2 linked regions of the Neurospora crassa OR74A genome follow. The protein of the gene in region 2 purifies or fractionates together with the protein of the main gene of each other region. This does not show direct contact. Links are inferred from orthologs where the notes say so. Each region holds a gene or a part of one and is shown on either strand. Other genes may lie near its edges.

Evidence for each region. The genes of interacting proteins can lie anywhere in the genome.
Region 1: the proteins of NCU03048 (region 2) and NCU03946 purify together in Schizosaccharomyces pombe (affinity purification with mass spectrometry; 3 studies listed by BioGRID, with this or other methods). This does not show direct contact. The link is inferred for Neurospora crassa OR74A from reciprocal best matches to the Schizosaccharomyces pombe genes red5 and pab2.

The regions. Positions count from the first base shown.
Region 1 is NC_026506.1:2,201,636-2,207,310, forward strand, and holds NCU03946 (polyadenylate-binding protein 2), read left to right. Parts: upstream 1-2,062; 5' UTR 2,063-2,427; coding exon 2,428-2,553; intron 2,554-2,645; coding exon 2,646-2,902; intron 2,903-2,974; coding exon 2,975-3,239; 3' UTR 3,240-4,115; downstream 4,116-5,675.
Region 2 is NC_026501.1:8,296,645-8,302,291, reverse strand, and holds NCU03048 (CCCH zinc finger protein), read left to right. Parts: upstream 1-2,208; 5' UTR 2,209-2,476; coding exon 2,477-3,098; intron 3,099-3,155; coding exon 3,156-3,264; intron 3,265-3,315; coding exon 3,316-3,371; intron 3,372-3,471; coding exon 3,472-4,010; 3' UTR 4,011-4,288; downstream 4,289-5,647. Other genes in the region: NCU03047 (hypothetical protein), read right to left, coding at 154-513, 570-754, 813-1,077, 1,146-1,373; NCU03049 (flavin-binding monooxygenase), read left to right, coding at 5,201-5,343, 5,431-5,499, 5,585-5,604.

The DNA of each region.
Region 1 (5,675 bases), on a different chromosome or scaffold from region 2:
ATTGACACACTATATAGGCCAGACTGCTGGCTCCAACGTCTATCATGTTCAAGCAACACTCCTTTTTGTCTTGGAAAACCATACACCCTGGCGCATGGGGTCAGAAGGTAGCTCAAGCCCTGGCAAGTATGGACCACCGTCAACGTTGAGACTCGCACACCGTTAGTGATTTAGTCCTGCCCGGCATCTTCACGACATGAAATACCACTCTCGAGGGGCCGGAAGTCACGTTGAAGGAGACGCTCGGTTAAAACTATTTCCAGTAGGATCTCAAGGTGGATTGTTTACGATTCAGAATCTCTTTACCTTACGAATCGCAGAACTCCATGATTCCGGAGAAGGTGTTGCGTAAGGGTATGGAAACTACAGTAAGCCATCGTCTTTCCAGATATGTGGTCAAGTTGCTTTGGCGACAGCTATCAGCCTTCCGGTGCGCAGGCATGCAAAGGGACCGAACATCTGATTTTCATTGAAAAAGAACCGCCATTCAACGGGGAACAGAAGAGCTTGATCCAGCATGTCAATCTGCCGGAGGAGAAGTTTGGAAGAAGAGGATAAGGGACAAAAAGCTCAACCGCCCAAGTCAAAGTCCGAACTGACCAGCTGCCGGCTTTGAGAATTGTACCACCAGCACCGCGCACCGGGCACTGGTTTTCTAGCCCATCGACGGCTTGACCACGGAGAGAACCTGCTTAAACCCTCTGAATCCCAATTGTATGTACCCCGAGGGGGATTCGAATTGACTGGTCATATTTGCCAGCCGCACCAGCTCCAGTTAACCCCGTTGAGTCTTAGGATATGTTCGCTCTATATCTAAGATAGCGCCGGCCATCTTGCCAGAGGCGTTCCGAAGTTGAAGATGTTCTGGTACTGAATGGCTGGAGATAGGCAACGTGAAGACAATGCCTGCCCTAACTGGTATCGCGGTTTCTGCTGCGCTCGCTGTTACAACGAGACGCACCCACTTGGGAGTAGGGACAGTAAGCTATGTTGACCCCATCAATATGCGAGTAATAGGAGAAGAGTATTCGGTCAACCCTCCCGCGCCTGATGATGTCCTCGCCCGAGGCATATTCTGACGCTGGCTTCGACAAGCGTCCACGCAACCTTGACCTGGCTTACAGCATTTCAACCAGGTGACCGGCGCTTAATGAAGATACAATTGACTTAACCGACTTCTACGTCTGGTCCTTCGTTAGTAAAGAGCTTGATGAATATTGTACCTTATGAAGCTAAGGTAGTGATGGGTATCGAGGGCTTCAATGTGGGTACGAAGATGCCGAGAGAGAATGACAATTGAGTTTCGATCCTCTGTATGTTATTACGATGGTCTTCGGAGTGTCATATCTTGCTAAAATGGTAATCGAAGGATCAAATACAATAATGGAGGGGCGATACATCAATGTGACTGTTTGAGGTAAGTGACGTTGACGGCAGTTAGTCTGGGAAGAGAACTCGGGCAGTACATGTAATGCCTGAACCAAGATGTTGACTGGCAGATAGCTACCAAACACGCATTTAAATCATCAGTTCCGAAACTCTCCCTGCCGATAATGAAAACTTGTAGCTCGCGTTGGGTCCTAAGGTAATGCCGAATCAGATAAGTAATGAAAGAAGTACTGGTTAAACTACCTGCATCTGATACAGAAAGTTCGTTGAGGATCCCAATGACCTCGCGTGAAGCCTTTCACAAGTTCTTGCGCAGTGCAAGTCCAAGTTCCTCCCAAAGTCCCAGGTCGTTATCTCCCGCTGCTCAGGGCACGAACAGGGTGGCACGTGCCCCCTATCTACTTAGGAGCCAAGCAGTGCTTGTCACTACACTCACGCCACCCTCCTTCGGCGTCACCCAGCCCAAGGTTTTGGAGAACCCCCCGATTCCAATTTCCCCATCAAAGCGCACATGGAGAAGACGTGACGGAACAGCTGCAGAAGGCCAAACGACTTTCTTTGCGTCGACCAGGGCCCCGTCTTTCAGTCCGATTGTGCCATCGTCAGCCCCATCCCACCACGCAACAAACACATTCTTTCTCGCAACAAGCTTCTCAAGGCTCTACAAAAAGGCGGTGCTGTCCCGTTCAACTAAAAGTAAGTTAAAGAGTTGGGCTTCAAGGTTCCTGGTCCAGTCCCCTCCCCATCCCTTGCTCCAGCCAGGTCCCGTCTTTTGGAAGGTCCACGGGAGCGGACCCCTCCCCACTTTTGTATTCCTTTTCCTCCACCATTGCATCGGTGACCAACAACCTGACCACCTTGGCCTCGCTCCCACAGCCCGTTGCGCCAGCCTGACCCAAACCACCACTTTTCGATCCCGCTCATTCAGGTTTCTCTCACTGACCTGCCAACTTCAGTTCCTTTACACAACCAGGAGTTGACCGTATTGCACGCGACACAATCGCGACAAGCAGCTCTTCAATCAATCATACCAGCAACATGTCGTCTGTGGTGAACGAGGGGGAGAAGCCCCAAGAGGCCGCTCAGGAGCAACAGGAGGAGCAGCAGCAGCAGCAGCAGCAGCAAGAGCAGCAAAACGCGGGAGACGATGTCAACGATGATGAGGTGCGCCAGCTCCGGCCCAAGCCCAGCGATACGATCCACCGTGTTTGCTTCCACGCGGAGTGCAGGCGCTAACACCAAGTAATCGTGAACAGGAGGAGATCTCGGCCATGAAGCGCCGTGTCGCCGAGATGGAAGAGGAGGCTGCCAAACTCCGCGAGATGCAAGCTAGTCTGGACCAACAGCATCATGAGCTCACCGAGAACAAGGAGGATATCGACAGTCGGAGCATCTTTGTCGGAAACGTCGACTATTCGGCTTCGCCTGAGGAGATCCAGGCGCACTTCCAGAGCTGCGGGTCCATCAACCGTGTCACCATTCTCCTCGACAAGTTTACCGGTCAACCCAAGGGGTACGCATCTCCTCTTCTTTCCCAGCTGATTACCCTCAAGTACATACACTGACGGTGTCATTTATCCAATAGTTACGCGTATGTCGAGTTTACCGAGCCTAGCCTGGTCGCACAAGCCCTTGTTCTCAACGAGAGTGTCTTCAAGGGCCGCAACATCAAGGTCGTCCCCAAGCGCACGAATATTCCCGGCATGTCGCGCGGCGGTCGCGGCGGTCGAGGTTCCTTCCGCGGAGGCGGTCGCGGGGGCTATTTCGGTGGACGGGGCGGTTTCCCTCCTAGGGGAGGCTACCGTGGCGGCTACCGTGGACGCGGCCGAGGAGGCTACGCTCCTTACTAGTTTTTTTTGGTGGTGGTCTGACATACGGCACATGATCCCGCATCCATCAGGACAATCAGAGCCGTATGCGGCCCCTCTCTGACATCCGCAGACACTACCTGGAATTGTGAAGATGGGCTCGATCTCATCTGAGCTGGTATCACTATCAGGCAACCCGGTGTACGTGTTGCTCATGATTCATGGGAACGTTTTTTTTTCTCCCTTTGATGGCTGTAAGATTAGGATATATCAGCAGGGAAGAGGAGGACACTTGAATGGTGGAGGAAGGGAAGGGTTCGTTGTCTTGGCCTGTTTTTGCACCATGGGAGCAATGGGATTTTCAAAGTTTTCATTTTGGCTGCGCGTATCGGCAAGGCGTCAATGGGTGGGAGGGTAAAACGAAGGAAAACGCCAATTCCATATGCTCTTTTATTTCTTCTTCGTTTATTCATGTCACGTTCAATTTTTGTATTTGATATTTGGCATAAGCGCCGCCTACTACTTTTCGGTTCGACATTTGCTACGGCTATGTCTGCTCAGGGGAATCATCAGCGAAGTTGCTTAATATGGGCTGTCTGTTACCGCTAGCCATCACCACATAATGACTAGCTTTGGCAACAATTGAAGCTATCACTTGACACTTCAATCTGCGAACATGTGCTCGAATTAGCGTAGCGATGATACTTTATTCACACCGCTATTGTTGTTCCGACACTAAAAACAAAGAAAGAGAAAAAAAAGAGTCCACGGATCGTCAGATGCCAGGTGCCGCCGCCTTCGCCGCGAACCTCCATGTCAACATTTTCCACCGAAATTGAACGACTCCAATATACAAAGGGCATGCAAATGACAACTCAACAGACACCTGCGCAAGACATCTTTGCTCCGACAAGACCGAAGGCGGTTGTGGTGAAATTCAAAGAGGCTGGTTTTTGAGGTATAGTAGAGTGAGTACTTACCTAGGTAGAAGAGCTATACGCGGATTGCGCATTACCTCTACCACTTTTTAGAAGTGTCGAACAAAGGGCGCTCCACATTTGCTGTCTCGCTTCGTTCAATGATGACAGCCACTAGTGTAGTGTACAAACCTAGTGTACATATGATGGGTACCTCTATGCTTCCATGAACTCCCCATCGTCAAAAGCACCTCAACAAAAAAAGAAACCTCAATTGAAAATCCAGAGATGCAGTAACGCCCCGCAGTTCCGTCGCACGCGAGGGGTATCAAAATGGAAATGACGGGCGTTTATGTCGGTGATGCGCTATTGTTGGAACAGCAGCGTCTCGGTCGGCGGCAACGGGGGTACACTACATGTACTGGGATACGCTAAGTAGCGACCTAACGCCTTTTTGCACCCCGTGCGGTGTATCGTCGTTATGGGATGTAGAGGTGCTGTGCGTTGAATTGTCAAGGTTGAGGTTTGAAGTGTTCACTTTCCTAATTGACTGCCTCTGGAGGTTTCTTCAAAGTTCGGTAGTGGCTTGATATCTGGTAGATCTGCGCAAGATCATCATCATCCCCGATCGTTGGGCTACCTCTTGTGTAGAGTTTTTGGAACAGACAGCTTCTACTACAATCTTGGCGTTTCCTGGAGAGACCTCGGAGCTTGGGGCGGTCGGTGGAGGTGCTTTCCTACCCCTAGTCATGGAAAGGCATTCAGGCCAGCATAGCTACCTATTCTAATTCTCTGTGTCGATGACTGAGCCGTGATCCATGGGATATTTTCCTGACAGGGCATCAACTCCTAAGAAAAGACACGGGACTATGTGATCCATGTACACCAAGGTTGCTCTTTGTGTGCCAATGATGTTGTTGATGTTGATCTCGAGATCTGGATGCCGTGCCAAGCATGGAGTGAATGTGGCCCCCTGGGAGTCTGGGACTCGAATGACCCGACCAACTGCTTAAGAGAAGAAGTCAAGTACCGCACTGTGCGCACCTTCCGCTTCAGTTCTCGCTCTTTGCAGGCTTCTGCTAACTAGTTCCTGGCCTAAAAGTAGTCACTCGTTAATGCGATACCTGAGCTACTAACTGAAAAGTTAAGCTTCTCGCACAGAGCATGCTAGGCCAGCCATACTTTCCCGTTAATGCTGTTGAACCATTATGTCTTGTCACCTCCCCCTGTCTCTTCACCAATGCTAGATCCAACTTGGACTGTCAATTTCTTGGCTTGGGTCGTTGCACCATTGCACCTTTGCAACATCGCAAGACGTCCAGGTTTCTCGGTCGTTTTCCCTCCCATCCTTTGGCTCATCCGTCGGTTGCAACTTAGTGAAGGTCATTGAGCTCTTCACCTGGACCTTCTTGGGGTTGGTCCGTCGAACCCAAGCTCACCCACCCGCCACTTCCAGCAGCTTCACCGCGACAAAACAACGACAGCATTCAACCTCGACACTACTAACTAAAGGTACCCTTACCAGACGAACCTAGACATCCGAGCGAGTTTACACTACCTG
Region 2 (5,647 bases):
ATCATTGTATGAGCATGGTCTTGAAAGACCGCTCGTCTTGCGAGCAAAGGAAAAACGCAGCAAACCCAGTCTACTCTAAACGCCTGACGCAAAGTAAGTGAATGAGTCAGAAGGAAGATCGCATCCATCATGACAGCGCTCAGTCCTGTCATCTTAAAACAGGACGTCCTCCATCTTGATATCGTCGTCGTCCTCGTCCTCAGATGCGATTTCGGGTTTGGGAGCCGCTTCGTTGGTTGGTGCCGGCAGGTCCTTATCAGAAATCATACTTTGGTATTCCGGTTTGAGAGACCAGTGGTTTGCAAAAGTACCAGTTCGGTGAATAACGGCAATCTTGTCCAAGCACTCTCGAATGAACGCCTCGGGCTGAGGAATCCGAGAGCGCAGCGCCTTGATGGACCAGTACATGTAGACGGAGAAGCATTTGGCGAGCTCGTCGAGCAGCTGGTTCTCTGGCCAGCGAGCTGTCTTGTTGTCCATCTTCTTGGCCTTGCTCGGAGCCTCGGTCGTGCGCTATTGTTTGCTATTAGTGAAAGCTCTAGTGGTGATATGTCTTCAAGTACACGCACCAGAAATGTTTCCCAACCCTTGGGATCCGTGATACCATTGGGTGGCAGACGATCCAGGACCTGTACTGTATGTTTGGGAGCCGTCTGCTTCTGGCCTCGGGCAGCAAGCGCATAGTCTGTCTCGGGATTTTCCAAAGGAGTGGCGACAACCTCACGCTTGATTGTTGCTGCAATCGCCGTTTGTTCTGAACTCTTAAGTTAGCACCTATCAAGGCAGGCCAGTTGAGATTGGGTGTAACGAACTCGGGATGGCCTTCTTGGTGTACTGCTGTCCCTTCTTTCCGCGCTCCTGAGGTGGCTCCGACTGCTTCATCTGCTGGCGCACAAGGTGTGCAGGTATGCCCTGAGCTAGAGCCTCAGCCCGCTCCTTGTTCTTGGCGGCATAACTTGGGTGATCATGTTCACCAAAGATGAAGGTGTTGTTGACGTTGGCATCCACCATGTCGAGGTTGTATTCCTTGGGAATATCGTAGTGTTGTGGAAGATCGTCGAGGAGAATTTGTAGCTTCTGAAAGCCCAAACAGTCTCAGTAACCTATTGAAAACGTAGTGCTCGTCAGGGAGTGCTGCTACTGACCTCCGGTTGACCATCTTGCACAATTCGACGAACTTTGCCAATCTGAATCTCAGCATCATCGGGAAGCGAAGCCCATGCTTGCCAGACATACCCCGGAAGGCGAGCCAGATAAGCGTTTTTCAAGGGAAAATCATTAGGATCATAGAATCCCAAGTCGGCTGATTCGTCAAGCTCGTCTTCGGCGAAGGCTGCGTCCGGGTCAGGCTTAATTCTCATTGGATCGGCCATGATTGGAGTTGGTCGCTGTGACAAGACTAGCAAATATTAATATGTGCGTAAAATGGCCTTTCGTTCGCTGGTTGTCGGCGTCTTGTGGTAGCGTGGACGGAAAGTTGGGGCGTGATTGTCGTGGTCGTTGTTGTTGTAGAGAGGTTGCCTGGTTGAAAGCAGCCGCGAACGTCAACGTCAGGACAAAGACCGTTGAACCTTGGATACGTACCTGTATACTATTATGTAAGCCGCTACCTGATCCTAGCGCGACCCGCTCTCCCGCAAGCGGAGCGGCTAGTGGGGTCTCTGGTGGCAAGTACTTAGCTGTACCTAGGATCCTGCATACATCTTTCAGTTAAAGGTTGACTTCAGTCTGGTGAAGGCGCCTGTGGTTTTGGATTTCTCTGAGGGCAGTTCAAACTTGGAGTCTCATAGGTTGCAGTATGGCTGTCTACGGGAGCGTTCTTGTTTGTATCCGGCGTTATTTTTTTGGGCGTAAAGAAAGGAACAGAAGTGGAAGTAAGGTATGAAGAGTGCCTTGGGTCTTTTTGGAAACAAGCCGATGGTAGCTGATTAGGAGGAAATGTGAGCTCACCACGGGGCATTGAGGCTTGGTATCTTGCATAAACTGCTTTCCTCGACGTAGGTAGTGTCCATACTATCATATGTGCACAGCATAGCTTCCCAATGTTCAGGTCCTGCCTGGTTGGTCGTGCCCTGACTGGTTGACGCATTACTTACTTAACTCCATGGCCTTCTTTCTCTGATAGCGACCTTGGCCGTTTGTGATTGGCTGACCTCTGGCGCATCCCCCCTCAAAAGATCACTGGCAGTTCGCCGCCGTCCTTGAACATCCGAACCAAAATCCTTCTTGCACCCATCATCCTCTGTTTTGCGCGCCGCCACAATCATCCCAACAACAACGTTACCTTATCGCATCGAACAAACGGCACCAGCAACATCGCGACCTTTATCATATTTTCTTCAATCTAAATAACCGACAAAGACCGGTACTGCTTGATCGTGGAACGTGACCGCAATATACCGATACGCTTTTAATATTGAAATTGCAGCAACAGCTACTTGTATTGGCTCTTGGATTCGAACAAAAAGATAACAAGATGACAATGTCTGCCGAGGAACACGAGCTGATGGAGAGGATTGCCCGTGTGGCCGGTCAGATCAACCAGCACAAAAATCAACAAGCAGGCCTTGTTCCGCCGCAGAGCAGCCACGCACCACCGCATCACCGTACGTCCGTGGAGTATCATAACAGCAACCGTGCTGGTATTGACGGTCTTGAAGACTCAGGTTATTCTGGAAGCTGGCGTCATCAAAGAGGAGGCTACCCATACCCGACCCGCGCCCATTACACCAAGCCTGCCCACCGTCACAGGACCTTGGTGCTGAACGGCGCGTCTCAACAAGGTAAAGCAGGTCCGCCCAGTTCAGGCGCCGCGCTCGACTCGTCCCCGTCGTCCTGGGTAGCAAAGAACGACCGTCACCTTCAAATCATCAATTCGTCCATCTATCATAAGGAAGCGCAGGCTCGCACTCGGGCCATTGAGCAAACTCTGCGCCAGAAGCAACAGCAGAGAGATGATCTGGAACGAACCAAGTTGATCAACCATCTACACCGTGCTGGCGATCGGTCGGCAGCGGCACCAAACCAATATGAACTAACCGTGCAGGGTATACGTTTTGCCGTTACGAAGAACGGAAGCAAACTTGTCAAGATTCCCGGTGCGTCGAAACCGCGGCCAGAAGTGCTGGATGTGCCGAATACTCACCCTTTCACAGGCGATCTCAACTCAGGGCCGACCCCGAAAATGGCTATCGTAGGCGGTGTCAAGTTCTACCGCAGCAAGAACGGGAATTTGTACCGCCATGGTATTGTTAAAGCGCAGCGGTATGTGGCCCGGTCCCTTTTGAATCATCCGCTAATTCTAGTTTGCGATAGGCAATCCGGCGCTTTCAAGAAGGTCAACGTGCCTTGTCGCAATTTCTCCATGACCGGTAACTCCAACTTTTCAGATTTCGGAACCTTAACCGACACCACGTCGAAATGACTGGGTCTGGTAAGTCCAAACGATGTTTATACTGACATCCCCCGCAGGTTCATGCACCAAAGGCCCTCGGTGCCGATATATCCACGACCCAGCCAAGGTTGCCATTTGCAAGGACTTTCTCCAACAAGAAGAATGCATCAACGGTGACTCTTGCGATCTTTCGCACGAACTCTCCGCGGAACGCACCCCCACGTGCTTGCACTTCATTAAGGACAGTTGCACCAAACCTGACTGCAAATTCACTCACGCAAAGGTGTCTCCAGCTGCCTCGGTCTGCCGAGAATTTGGCCTCTACGGCTACTGCGAGAAGGGTGCAAGCTGCATCAACCGCCATGTTTTCGAATGTCCCGACTTCAGCAACACTGGCGTGTGTAATACCAAGGGCTGTAAACTGCCGCACCGGGAGAGGGCAAGCGTCTTGCGCAGGGTCAATGCCCGCGACGACGCGGAGATGGAGGATCTATCCAGCGACGACGATTCAGTCGATAGCGACGATATCGACTCGGACGACGTTGACGAGTTTGTTGGCCAGGACGACGATCCTGACTTGGATTTCGCCGAGCAAAAGGACTTCATCAAGTTTTGATTAGTGCAGTCCTGGCTCGTTTGTTTTGGTCCTTGGTTTTTCCTAAGCCTTGCTGGCTTATTGATACCCTTTGATGTTTCTGTTTTCTGTAGCGCAACCCGTTACACTTTCCGGGTTGGCAGTGGGTATAGGAGGATAATAAAAGTAAAAAAAGGAGGAAGAGAAAAGCAAAAGGAAAAAAAAGAGAGAAAAGAAGATGTCACTCTGAAGAACAGCCAAGACTAGGCAATTTATTATAGATATAGGAGTGCATGACCGCACTTGGTGCATGATTACAATGATTGGCCTGTGGTGAACGTCGACCTTGATGTGCTGCGGCAAGCTCCAAGCAGGTACCGCAAAATGTTATCCTGTTCATCCAATGGCTGCTGAGAGTTAGTCTGCCGAGAGCTCAATAGCCACACCATCACTGCCATTCCTTCTTCACTCGGGCCCGGAGTATCATAGATCAATCACCCCGCATTCGCAACCTTAACCCCATATGCTCTCCGCTAAATTATACTCGTATGAATTCACCGCTGCCTAACGAGAGTTTAGCGACGGGATGCCCTTCTCTTGGGCATCCGGATTTCTGTTTAGAAGTAACTCGCCGCTTACACTATCCAAAATCCATGTAATCACTCCTCTTATGACCCCTTAATGCCGTACACGTATATAGATCAGCACCTGCAGATGTCCCACATTCCATAATACTACTAGTCTCATGATCTTTCTATACCTAACTCCCACCTCCTCTCCCGCACTCCTGTGGATAGTCAGTAAGGGACTAAGGAGCACTGGGGTTTAGGCAACTAAAGCAGTTTTATATATATACTACGTTCTCGGATTCACAACTACAACCACTCAGATGGCGCGGATGTAATGAAACCCAGACCAAGACCCTTGCACAAAGCACTAGTCCATGACGCAGATCGAAGGCCTGCGGCCGCCGTGCGGTTCGGTTGAGCAAAGCCGTTACCGAACCGTCCTGAGTCCGACCAGGGGTATTTGATTGTGAGGGGTAGGAAGTGGTAAGTTTCGGCTCATGGTATGTTTGATGAAATGTATATATACAGAGAAAGAGAGAGGTTTGGAGGCAAATACCTTGGCTGCTGGTCTGTCTTCGACTATGAGGTTGACGATCTAATACCTACACCCTTTGACAAAACAAATACGTCGCAACAAGTATACGTCAAGAGATATCAGTGGAGATGGCTACAACTACGAACGGGCACATGGACGGAAGTGACCTCAAGAAAAAGTTTACACTTAAAGACACGGTAGTGGAAAATCTTAGACCGTTGAGGGTAGTTGTCATTGGCGCTGGGTATAGTGGTATCGGGGCAGCGATTAGGTGAGTTGCTTCCCTACCTCCCGCTTTAGGCTGATGAAATAGTTGTACCACCGGTTCAATACTGACAAACATGGGTGTGCTGTGAAGAATACCAGAGAAGCTACGAAATGTCGAGCTAGTGGTCTATGAGAAATACGAAGGCGTCGGAGGGACATGGTAAGTCCACGCTTTTCCTCATGAACTCATTTGGACCGCCAGTCATTCACCAAGCAAAGACACTGATACTGCAAGAAACAAAAAGGTGGGTGAACACATATCCAGGTATGTACGACCTGGTCGTGGTCCCCAAACAGGAGTAGGAAAC